Linked DNA regions of Arabidopsis thaliana. The protein of the gene in region 1 interacts with the protein of each later gene in a pairwise test. Each region holds a gene or a part of one and is shown on either strand. Other genes may lie near its edges.

Evidence for each region.
Region 2: the proteins of AT4G25920 (region 1) and MYB4 interact in a two-hybrid assay, tested with the Arabidopsis thaliana proteins (one large-scale study listed by BioGRID).
Region 3: the proteins of AT4G25920 (region 1) and AT5G04600 interact in a two-hybrid assay, tested with the Arabidopsis thaliana proteins (one large-scale study listed by BioGRID).

What each region holds. Positions count from the first base shown.
Region 1 is NC_003075.7:13,163,723-13,167,468, forward strand, and holds AT4G25920 (hypothetical protein (DUF295)), read left to right. Parts: upstream 1-1,752; coding exon 1,753-1,809; intron 1,810-1,891; coding exon 1,892-2,646; intron 2,647-2,758; coding exon 2,759-3,119; 3' UTR 3,120-3,150; downstream 3,151-3,746. Other genes in the region: NFU3 (NFU domain protein 3), read left to right, coding at 406-507, 593-710, 786-1,084, 1,181-1,372.
Region 2 is NC_003075.7:18,051,301-18,055,056, reverse strand, and holds MYB4 (myb domain protein 4), read right to left. Parts: upstream 1,698-3,756; 5' UTR 1,192-1,697; coding exon 929-1,191; intron 767-928; coding exon 181-766; 3' UTR 17-180; downstream 1-16. UniProt on the Arabidopsis thaliana protein: Transcription repressor involved in regulation of protection against UV. Mediates transcriptional repression of CYP73A5, the gene encoding trans-cinnamate 4-monooxygenase, thereby regulating the accumulation of the UV-protectant compound sinapoylmalate.
Region 3 is NC_003076.8:1,321,529-1,325,284, reverse strand, and holds the start of AT5G04600 (RNA-binding (RRM/RBD/RNP motifs) family protein), read right to left. Parts: upstream 1,712-3,756; 5' UTR 1,586-1,711; coding exon 1,472-1,585; intron 1,368-1,471; coding exon 1,250-1,367; intron 1,108-1,249; coding exon 1,052-1,107; intron 961-1,051; coding exon 913-960; intron 817-912; coding exon 719-816; intron 203-718; coding exon 133-202; intron 45-132; coding exon 1-44. Other genes in the region: SIR (sulfite reductase), read right to left, coding at 2,987-3,040, 3,158-3,316, 3,410-3,526, 3,610-3,744.

The DNA.
Region 1 (3,746 bases):
TTCTACCCTTGATGATACTATTTGGGATGGGCTTGCTTAGATGTGCCGAATCCAATTCTCGTTTTTGGGTCTATCTATATTTGGGCTGGGCTTTATAAGAGGCGAAGCCCATGTCGAACAATCAATTTTTTTTTAATTTTATATTTCTTTTGGGAGTCTGTTCTGTCGTATTGATTAATAAAGTAAAAAATCTTAGCCACAAAATTAAATCATCTCCAAGACGTATCAATATCATCATCAATCCACCAATGAAAAGTTCTCTCTTTTTTTTTCCCACTCTTACTCTGTTCTCGCTACAGAATCTCCTGGGAAAAAAAAAAAAGAAACTTGATCCACCCGAATTCCCCAAATCTTCACAATTTCTGGAAACTCTCTCGATCGTGAAGCAGAAAAGTGAGGTTCCAAATGGGTTCTGTTTCGGGTCAAACCCGAATTACAACGATGAACCTCTCGCTCTCAACAGCAGAGAAGAACCCTAATTTCCGCTCGTCGCTTCTCAATTCTAAGGTAATTGTTATCACTTCGTCGAGCTTCACCAAAAAAATGACTCCTTTTGCTTGATTTCTTCTTCTCCTCTTTCGCTTGTGTTTAGAACGCAATTTCAGATACTTTAGGGGTCTCTTCCAAATGCAGTACATTCCTCAGGGGTCAATTTCAAAGAATACATTTTTCTTGGCTACAACACACTCGACCTTTGAGAAAACGAACAGGTACTTGATTTGCAAACCAGACCAATCTCTTTAGAACTTTAGTTGTGATTTAGATTCTTGTTATGTTTGGTTTAGTATTTGGTCACGTGAGCTGCGTCATGCCGTTAACGGAAGAGAATGTGGAGAGAGTGTTAGACGAAGTACGACCATCTCTAATGGCCGACGGAGGAAACGTGGCGTTGCACGAAATCGACGGACTTGTGGTGGTTTTAAAGCTACAAGGAGCTTGTGGTTCGTGTCCTAGCTCATCAATGACGTTGAAGATGGGAATCGAGAGTCGTCTTCGAGACAAGATTCCAGAGATCATGTCCGTTGAGCAGTTTCTTGAATCCGAGACAGGAGGTTTAGAGCTGAACGATGAGAACATTGAGAAGGTTTGGTTTTTTAAAGGTTTAGTTATTTTTGGTTTATTAGCCCCTTGGTTTTGAAATTGATCTGAATGGTCCTTTTTTGGTTTGTTGTCAATTTAGGTTCTCTCTGAGTTAAGGCCGTACCTATCCGGTACTGGAGGTGGGGGGCTTGAGTTAGTTGAGATTGATGGTTACGTGGTCAAGGTTCGACTCACTGGACCAGCTGCTGGAGTCATGACTGTTCGTGTCGCGTTGACTCAAAAACTGAGGGAAACAATTCCTTCTATAGGTGCAGTCCAGCTTCTAGAGTGACATTAACCTTTTTATTTTGTAACTTATATACAAGGCCTATTTTTGATTCAATATATTTTATTTCCAATTATATAATTAGTACAACTAATACAATAACCATTTCTGTTGAAGAAAAAGGAAAAGAAAAAAAAAGTATCCTATGTATGAAGGACATTTTCTCTAGTGATCCTTGTTTTTAGGTAACAGTTATAAAATATTCATGACTTGACTACACAAAGATAATCGAACTTAAAGAGTTATTTCCTTAAACCAATTATTCTCTAATTAAATATGCATTTATAGCGAGTTCTTGGTGAGCAAGGATACTAGAATCTCTATAATAAGTCGGACATAAGAAGATATGAGGAAACACAGACATAACATAGTTAAGAGTTTCAACAATGTCAAAGCTTATAATCAACCGAATATTCAAACCCTCTGTCTGCAAAAATTTCCTCGTACGTAAGCTTCTCTTGCTTTTTCTTTTTAACTTTAATTTTGTTCTTGTTGTCTCTGAATACTTGAACATAACTATGGCAGAGACACGCAAACGTTCGTCTGTTCTCATCTGCAACTCACACGAGTACTAAAGTGAATCAGCCCTTCTCGTCTAAACCAGCCTTCCCGTTTCTGTTGATTGACTACATCCTAAACAACCCAAACTCTTCCTCCGATGGTCGCGTAACAACAAACGTTTACGGTAATGAAAAGGAAGTCTTGATTAAGGACAAGGATCTTAAGGAGGAGGTCTGTGATGCGATGACTGTCGGGTTTTCTCGTGATGGGTTGCGAGTCGAGCTTTGTGGCAACCACGGCGATGTATGTTCTCCCACCATCTTTTACAAGCCTACTGACCCCGAAATAGAAGACTTGACCGTTGATCTACCTCCTCTACCGACGGGTTCACAAATCCAAAGCCTGGTCATGTCCTCTTTACCTAAACGAGACAAAAATTGGGTAGTTGTTGTCAAGTTATTGGGATCTCAGTTGAGTATGTGCAGGCCTTTTGGCAGCCGTAAATGGATCAACATCCAAACCAAGCCTCAGAATATAAACCCTTCATCGAGCATCATGTTTTCCAAGAAAGAGAAAAAGTTCTACGTTCCAACTCCCGGAGGCAACATCTTGTGCTATTTGGATCCTCACTCAGAGGACGACGACCTAATTGATTTCGTGGAATTGGAGTTTGACGATCTTCCAAAATCGGTGTTTCAAGAGTTGGCCGACGTGAGTACATGTTCTAGGACAGACCACCTTGTGGAGTCACCCACCGGCCAACTTTTCCTAGTCAAGTGGTATACTATCTAATTAAAGCTATATATAGCTTTTGTCTTCATAACATATATACCAAAATCTCTAATCCTTTGCTTGAGTATCATATTGGCGCGCTTTATCATGTCTTTGCAGGTATGGAGAGGATTTAGAGGACATTGACAACACCACACTGTATAATGTAACAAAAAAGTTCATGGTGTTTAAAGAGGGAGAGAAACCGAGTTGTGTCTACACTAAGAAGATGATCTATACAGAAGACATTGGAGATCTTTGCATTTTTGTTGGACATAGTGAGGCTTTCTGCGTCCCGGCTAGCTCGTCCCCTGGCCTCAAGCCTAACTGCATCTATTTTGTGGGCTATAACTTTGGTGTTTATGATCTCACCACCAAAACTTGCACTATGTTCCTCACAAAAGATGATAATCCATTAAGGAAATTGGAATTCCCTTACTGGCCTCCTCCGGCTTCCTTTCCAGTACTAGCTCCTAATTAATTATCTCTCTTGCACGTGTTTATGTTTCGCTAATGTTATCGCTGTCTTTGCTTTCCCATGATTTCATTTAAATCCAATGTTCTCTTTTAATCTATGTTCAATGAAATTTATATTAGTGCCTTAAAAGAAGGCGAATCTATCCTACCAAAAAAAAAAGAAGGCGAATCTAAACGAATTCGGTTAATTCATCATATTTCTCAATTAATATACGTAAGACACACTTTGGCACAAAACTTATATAATTATTTATTTCCTGAAACAAGTTATCCTCTAAATATGTATATTTAATGTCCTAAGGTGTAGTACCCTCGGTATTCACTAGACAGAGACGGGGAAGACGAAAGAGTCGCACGTCAAATCAAAATCACAACACATATTTTGAGTGTTGTTACATTATTTTGTGGTGGATCACTATGTGGAGTCACCCTCCGGTGAACAATTCCTCGTCAAGTGGTATATATACTATAGACATTGCTTTTGAATAAACAATTATACAAACTATTAGGTTAATTACTCAACATTTTAATTTGATTTAATGGCTCCTCACCAAACACAAGAAGAGAGGTGAAACATGTTATCTTATTTGTTCTTCCATGCATTTGTTTTTAGGTACGGCCACAACTTAAT
Region 2 (3,756 bases), 4.9 Mb from region 1:
CACCGATCGTCTAGATCCGGTATTTAATATTTATGCCAATGGAGTTAATTTGTAAAAGAGAAAAAAAAACAAATTCTATATATTATAATTCACCAGTTAAATTTCTCATACAAGTTGAAGATATACTTTCAAATTATCTAGGCAAAAGTTTTGTACAGTTACGCCTAAAATTTGACAATATTATTTCATCTCCAAGCTTCGAAAGCCCAAAAGAGAAGTGGTCTCTTTCTTTGCCAACCCTAAAAAATCAAATCCATTGCTCATGTCACTCCCCTTGCTGCTACCTCCGACTACATCGCATCTCATTCTTCCGCATCTGCACTCCATGCCGTTTATCATCCCTAAGCTGCACTTGAAACAACGTGGCGTTGTTGACTTTCCATGCCCTTGAAGACGATCAACATCATCAGGAAGACTGATTCTGAGCTCAAGATTCAAATCTGGGAACTTTTCTTGAACTGGGCACTCATCTTTTTCTTCTTTGAACGTAAGCATTGAGATTTTCTCTGATTTTCCCGGAAAGCTTATACTTTCATGGAACGTTTCGACCTTTGGAGCAGAAGTGAATGAGATATTAATGGTATTACTCGTAACTGGTTCTAGTTGTGTAGGTTTAGAATCTTGAGAAGCTGATGATTCTTGGATTGGTCTATGACTCGTTGGATCAATCCCTCTGTTTATAAGCTTTCTTCGTATATGCGTGTTCCAATAGTTCTTTATCTCGTTATCTGTTCTTCCCGGTAATCTCCCGGCAATAAGCGACCATCTATATATCATCAACAAAAAATAACATCATTTAGATAGATTGAAAACTCCAAGATTTTCATTTTGTATAAATTAAAACGATACTAGTTTTTTTTGTTTTTTTTTGGGTATAAACGATACTAGCTAGTTAAATAAGCCCATATTTAGAGAGTATAGTACTCACTTGTTGCCAAGAAGGCTATGGAGCTTGATGATGAGTTCGTCTTCTTCCTCGGTGAAGTTTCCACGCTTAAGGTCAGGCCGGAGATAGTTGATCCACCGGAGACGGCAGCTCTTGCCACAGCGAAGAAGTCCGGCGGCTTTGGGGAGAGATCTCCAGCAGCCTTCTCCATGAGCTTTAATGTAGGCGACGAGCCTCTCGTCCTCTTCTTTCGTCCATGCTCCTTTGTTTGTGTGAGCTTTCTCACAGCACGGTGACCTTCCCATACTTTTATGTTTACTTTCTTTCTTGTGGTTTAGATCTTATTTCGTCTCAAAATCTTATATATAGGCAGATCAATTCTACTTGTTATTTTATATTGAGGGATTGGCTTTTAGCGAGGGTTTTGGCTAAAAGGGTATAAAGGGATTAAGTTGTTTTTTTGTGTAGTGGAAGAGGATTGAAGCATTTGGTGGGGCACTTGGATTTTGGGTTTGGTTGAAGGTTCAAAGCTTTGGTGTATAGTTTATATAGGGTTTTGACTTAAAGCTAGAGAGGAATATACACACATATATATATATACACAAATGCTTCTAGATGATAGAAAAGGAGAGAGAAAGAGAGTTGAACTTATAATTGCTTCTAGATGTGAGTTGGTGGGATGGATTTGAATGAGTAGTGTATGGTGGCCTTTCGTTTTGGTACAATAAGTGAGAAGCTTGACATATATGGCATCATAGTCTTTTGATAAAGCTATGACATTTTTTTAATAATCATGACAACAAATTTAATATTTCTCACTTAAATATATATATATATATATATATGTAATCAAAGAAATTTCTCGTGTTCGTATATACATAAACCAAAATTATTTAGCTACTTCTTTAATTTTTTTTCTTTCTTTTTTTACTTTGCAACAAGTTTTATTTAGTACAAAATATAAACCAACTCTGTCAAGAAATTAATCAATACATGACAATTCGAGTATTCGACTGTGTACATTTATTGACAAATCGTCTTTTAACTTCGACCGATTTAGTACAAACAGTAATTTATTTTTATTTTTTTGGAGTCTCTTACCTATCGTATGAATTAAGTTTGTAGTAAAACTTAGGCGGGTGAAAATTAATGTAGAAAACCTAAAATTCAGTAAAACAAAAAGTTTGTGAATGGCTTTTATCGCCAGATATTATAGGTCACAAGTAAAAATTTGGGTCTAACAAAGGAAGGGGAAACTTGAATAATTTGGTAGCAATAACGAAGAGAAGATATAATGAAGTAGTGGAGGTAGGTGGTAAAGTTAATGAGTGTTTTTTGGACAAGTGCAGGTCAACTATATAGCCTATGAGGTTTTTGTTGTACTGGTCAACAGTCTTTTCTCTAATATATAGACTGCACTGGATTAGTTATTGTTTTTTTAATCAATAATATATCTAGAACTTAACCCTAATACAATCACTTGCTAATTAAACAAAGCATTATCAAATAACTAATTATATGTGTGGGCAGGATAACTTGTAACTTATATATGGTTTTCAAATTACTCTCACCAAATGACAAGCACTTCATGTTTAAAATATTTGTGATGATGCTCATGTTTCTTTAATATTTCAGTATAAAAACAATACAACAAGAACCACCATGACACATACATATAAATTAGAAATATACATATATGATAAACTATTTGAATTAAAGAATGTGCCTTCTAGAACCTTGACTTAGAATGGTTTTCTCTAACCAACTTCTATTTCTTTCATATTAGAGACTTGAAAAATCAAGACTTATTAAGAGATATTTTTTTAATAATGTTGAACTCTAACTGGACGGAATATTATTATAGCACTAATCGTATCTATATTTTTAGAATACGATCGACAACACTAATCATATACGTATGTAGTAATTCGTATGTCAGGAGAATAGTTGAAGAATAGAACACATAACAGTATATAGGAGAGAATAATTAAACTATAGTATCTACTGTGTACTGTCCATGTATGCTAAACAAAAAAAGTTGAACTTAATTGTGAAATTTGGTAAGTTAGGTGGAAAATGTGAGAAGAAACGAAAAAGAATAATGGTTTATTGAAAAAGATGAAAAAACCGAAAAAGAGAGAGAGAGAGAGAGAGAGTAGTTGAATTTCAATTTGTTTAATCTATTGGTACAAAATCACTCACCTCATGCATGATGATGGCCCTCTTCTAGAAGGTTAGGTTCTTAGCTAAAGGCCAAGATTCTTCAATTCATCAACAAAAGTTTACGTCCATTTACATCTGAATCAAAATTAAACCCCAATCAGTCAGTTTTTCACATTCACTATTTATACCCAATTAACTTATTTACTGCTCTTTCTTTTTTCTTGCAACTAAATTGTAAGAGACAAATTCGTAATATTGTTTTATGAAAAACCAAATGCAGCAACACTACATGCAAAACGTTTTTTAACATCATGGGAGAATAATAGTTCTCCAGGTGAATTATTCTCTCTGTTGTTTTTTTTTGTTTTTTTGTTTTAGGAATAATATGTTATTACTTGTTAGTAGTACTACTAATGGGATTGTAAATGACGTGGAGGAAATAGCGATGTGCTATAATATAAAAGCAAAACTTGTGTCACAAATATAATATAGAAGCGAAATCACAATGTACTGATTAATTTGGCATTTTCTTTAAGTAAATATACTGATATTAAAAAAGAGTAGGATAATTATATTATTTAGGTTGCTGCCAAAAACAAAAAAAAACTATATATTATTTAGGTCCGTATGCGGTTGGGACGTGGGATTTGGTTCACCTTCCACTTTATTATTATTGTTTTAATAATGGATTCATTTGTTTGATATTT
Region 3 (3,756 bases), on another chromosome or scaffold:
ACTATCTTCTGCAACATTTTCCTATGCTCTTCCAATGTCCTTTCCTGTATACAACAGTGACATAAATCAAAGTTAGAGCCACTTGTTCAAGAGAAATGGCATATTGATAACAAGAAAAGTGGAGAGAATAACCTTATTAAGTTGTCTTCGCTCAATCTGAACCGAATCCACTGGTTTGAAGTTACATTTAAACCCTCTCCACCTATAACATTCAGGACATAGATACATTAAGATCCACAACTACTTGAAAAGAACAATTCTCAAAATAGGTCATGCATGTTCTCTTCTGGAAACACTAGAGAGTCTCGCACATCTTTTAGAGTATGGAGTCATTAGAAACCAAGGTAGGGGACAAGAATCACATTTTCTTTACCCTAATTTTATGACTCATAAATAAAACCATCTCAGCCAAGAAAACGATCTTTCAATAAACTCTCTTTTATCCTCACTTATTTTATCACATCCTATCTAGTATCATCCTATGACTCAAATGTCATTAAGTCTCACTCTGTAAACCATAGAACATTGTACTTCAAAGCTTGCGCTAAACCACACGAGATAGTATATTGTTATATAGAGCTCTTTCATTCAACAATATAGCACAAAGTACATAAGCAGCCAAGTAAAATAGCTAACCTACACAATTAGATATGCCAACTAACTATTTGCAAAGAAGATCCCTGATCACTACGAAAAAAAGTCGATTAAAATCACTCACAGATTGGGTTTAACATTCTCTGGTTCAATGACATGGACTTTAAGCATGTGCTCCATCAACAAATAATCATTCATTGCACCCGCTGCAATTTCCGCCACCTGCAGAGAACCAAATAAAAATGTCAAGAATTGAATCTAGAGTATATATATAGCACACAACGGTTTCACCAATTTTATACAGAATCTAAAGTATACCTCAGGGTCCTCAAACTGTATGAACCCAAAATGCTTTGATTTCCCAGTCTGTTAAGACGAATACAAATTCAAAGAGTTAAGAAAGAGCACATCGTATCAAACAAGAGCAAACAAAATAAAGTATCAATCAATGTATAACCTTTTTGTTTCTGGCGACTCTAACTCTCTTAACTGTTCCAAACTGCGAGAAGAAAGCTATAACCCAGAAAGGAAAACCAGATTATCAAACACATAAACCATAGATAGATAATAAAAAGGTTTATTCATATTAGCAAGTTTGTGACAACAAAGGGCATTAAATTGAGCAAACACAATAATAAAGGGTGTAAATTTATACCTTCAATCTCAGTCTCATAGAAGCCATGAGGGATTCTACCGATGTATAGCACAGTAGCTTTATTCTGAAGAGGTGGGGTGGTAACTGGAGCTTTTCGAGCTGGACCTCCTTCTAGTGGCTATCAACAAAAACCCATACAGAGAGATTCAATGTAAAACCCTAAAGAGTCTGATACGAAATCGAAACAATGGTGGTAGTAAGAGAAAGTATCGAAGGAAATACCAAAAAATCAGCTGAAGGTTTCGGGTTCTGGGGAAGAGGTAGCTGAGAAGAAGAAGCCGAAGCAGCAACCTTCTTCATGTTCTTCTTCAAAGCTTTCTTCGCCTTGGCACCCATGTTTTCGTCGTCGGCGAGAGAGAGAAAGAGAGAACGCAAGGAAGAGGATGATACAATTAGGGTTTAAGGCGATTAGGTTTTCAACCAATTTAATCGATGTGAAAAAATTTCCAGTTATACCCCTCCCGTCCATTCTGTTTTTTATGTGTGAATATGTTTTTTTAAATAATTGTGGACATTAAAAAATTACAGTGGTGTGTAAATTTCTCAAAATGTTTTACTTGTGGGTTAAAAAAACAGTCCATATTTAAACAGAGCAACTGAGCAACAACAGAAAGAAAAAGCATAAGAAGCCATCTTAGAAAGAGGAGTAATCAAATGATATCCAGAGCTTTTTTTTTTTTCTCATAAGGGATTTTTATTCATTAAACCAATCTTACAAACCGGGTGAACCGGATAACCTAGTAAACCGGTACCCACAACCCCTTCAGCAAAATATGCAGACAGAAGCCGGCACAATTTCCGGCGAGTGAACAACCGGAAACATCTCCGGATTATAAAAACAAACAACTATTAAACCGAAAAAGATAAAAGATTCAATTTAATCTTCAAATTCTTTCTCTTCTCATCACTGGATCTTTTCCGAGAACAAAAGCATGAAAGAAGTTGTCAGCAAACAATCAACCACGAGGTGAAGCTTCTGATCTCTTGTCATCACTTGCTAATAAGAATAGACTTCGGAAATTGATATCTTGACTTCCTGGAATGGCAAGACGGACCTCAAATGAGGTGATTGAAGCCGTCAAAAACGCCGGACCGTTTCAACTATAACGGTTGGAAGGAGTCAAGCAACCCAGAATTCGCCCAAATCTGGATATTGATTCATGTGGATGAGACTAAAACAGTCGCCCAATCGAAACACCAAAACACTTACCTGATTGTGGATGGTGGTGGAACGGATCGAGAGAAGGCCATGAAAATTTCCAGTTAGAAAAGAAGAAAAAACTGATATCAAATTGTTTCCCAAATCAATTCGGTGAAACAAACAGAACGGCAACGGGATAGCCGTAAACAACACCGGATACACCGGACGGCGAGATAGGACAGCGAGATAGATCGACAAAACCGGATCACATCCGGATTCATAAGCTGGTAAAGCATGCAAAACATCGAACAAAATCTCTCTCTCTCTAAAATTTAGAGAGATAAGAGAGAGAGGTTCTGACTTTTCCATATCCAGAGCTTTAAAAAGGCTTATTGATGGGCTAATTAGCCTTGATACAGTAATGCTTCATTATCCAATCAAAGACAAAGCAATCCAAAAAAACAAAAAAAAAAAAGAGGGTACAAAATCAAACCAAAACGAGAACAAGTTCTCCATCAGAGTTACCGAAGAGTAACAGTTCAGACAGAGACATTACATTACATGAATTATAAAACGAAAGATGATCTCTGTTGTGCTCATTGAGAAACTCCTTTGTATGTATCTATCAGCTCCTTCAGTTTCTCGAATCCCTGCAATTTTACCATTGTTAAAGTTAAAAAACACAGTCATTTGTTTTTTCTTCTTCTTCAATATAAATGTTCAAGCCACAGTGAGAGAGTTAAAGAGAAGTTATATGTGATACTTACCATGCGGGTTGTGTATTCTCCAAATGATTCTTTAGTTTGCCTCTCTAGTTTCCAGTGATAGAACAATGGCTCGCAGACTTTCTCTAAGTCGTGAACCTTAACCTTATCCATGAAACTTCTCGCTATCTGGGTCAGGTTCGGTGTTCCTCCTAGCCAAACCTGCACAACCGACAACAACTCAGAATATTAGCCTGCTTGCTTACTACTATACTGTCTCATCACTAGTAACAAGAGCTTGTGCTCCAACCGTACCTGATAGCTGTTGGGACCATCCCCGACTAGACCGAGCTCAGCCATGTACGGTCTTGCACAGCCGTTTGGACAACCGGTTACTCTTATCACAACAGACTCGTCGTAGTCCAGACCAACCTGATACAAGGAAGAAGTTTTGCACATCAATATCAAATGCCTGTAATGGCACAAGATTAGATAAGTGCACAGAGAGATCTTACCTTTTCAAACATTGCCCTAACTCTCTTTAGAATGCTGGGGATCCCGCGCTCTGCCTCAGTTATTGCCAGAGGGCACAAAGGAAAAGCTGGGCAAGCCATTGCAGTTTGGTTTAATGGGTCGACAAACTCAGGTTGCTGCACAAATAA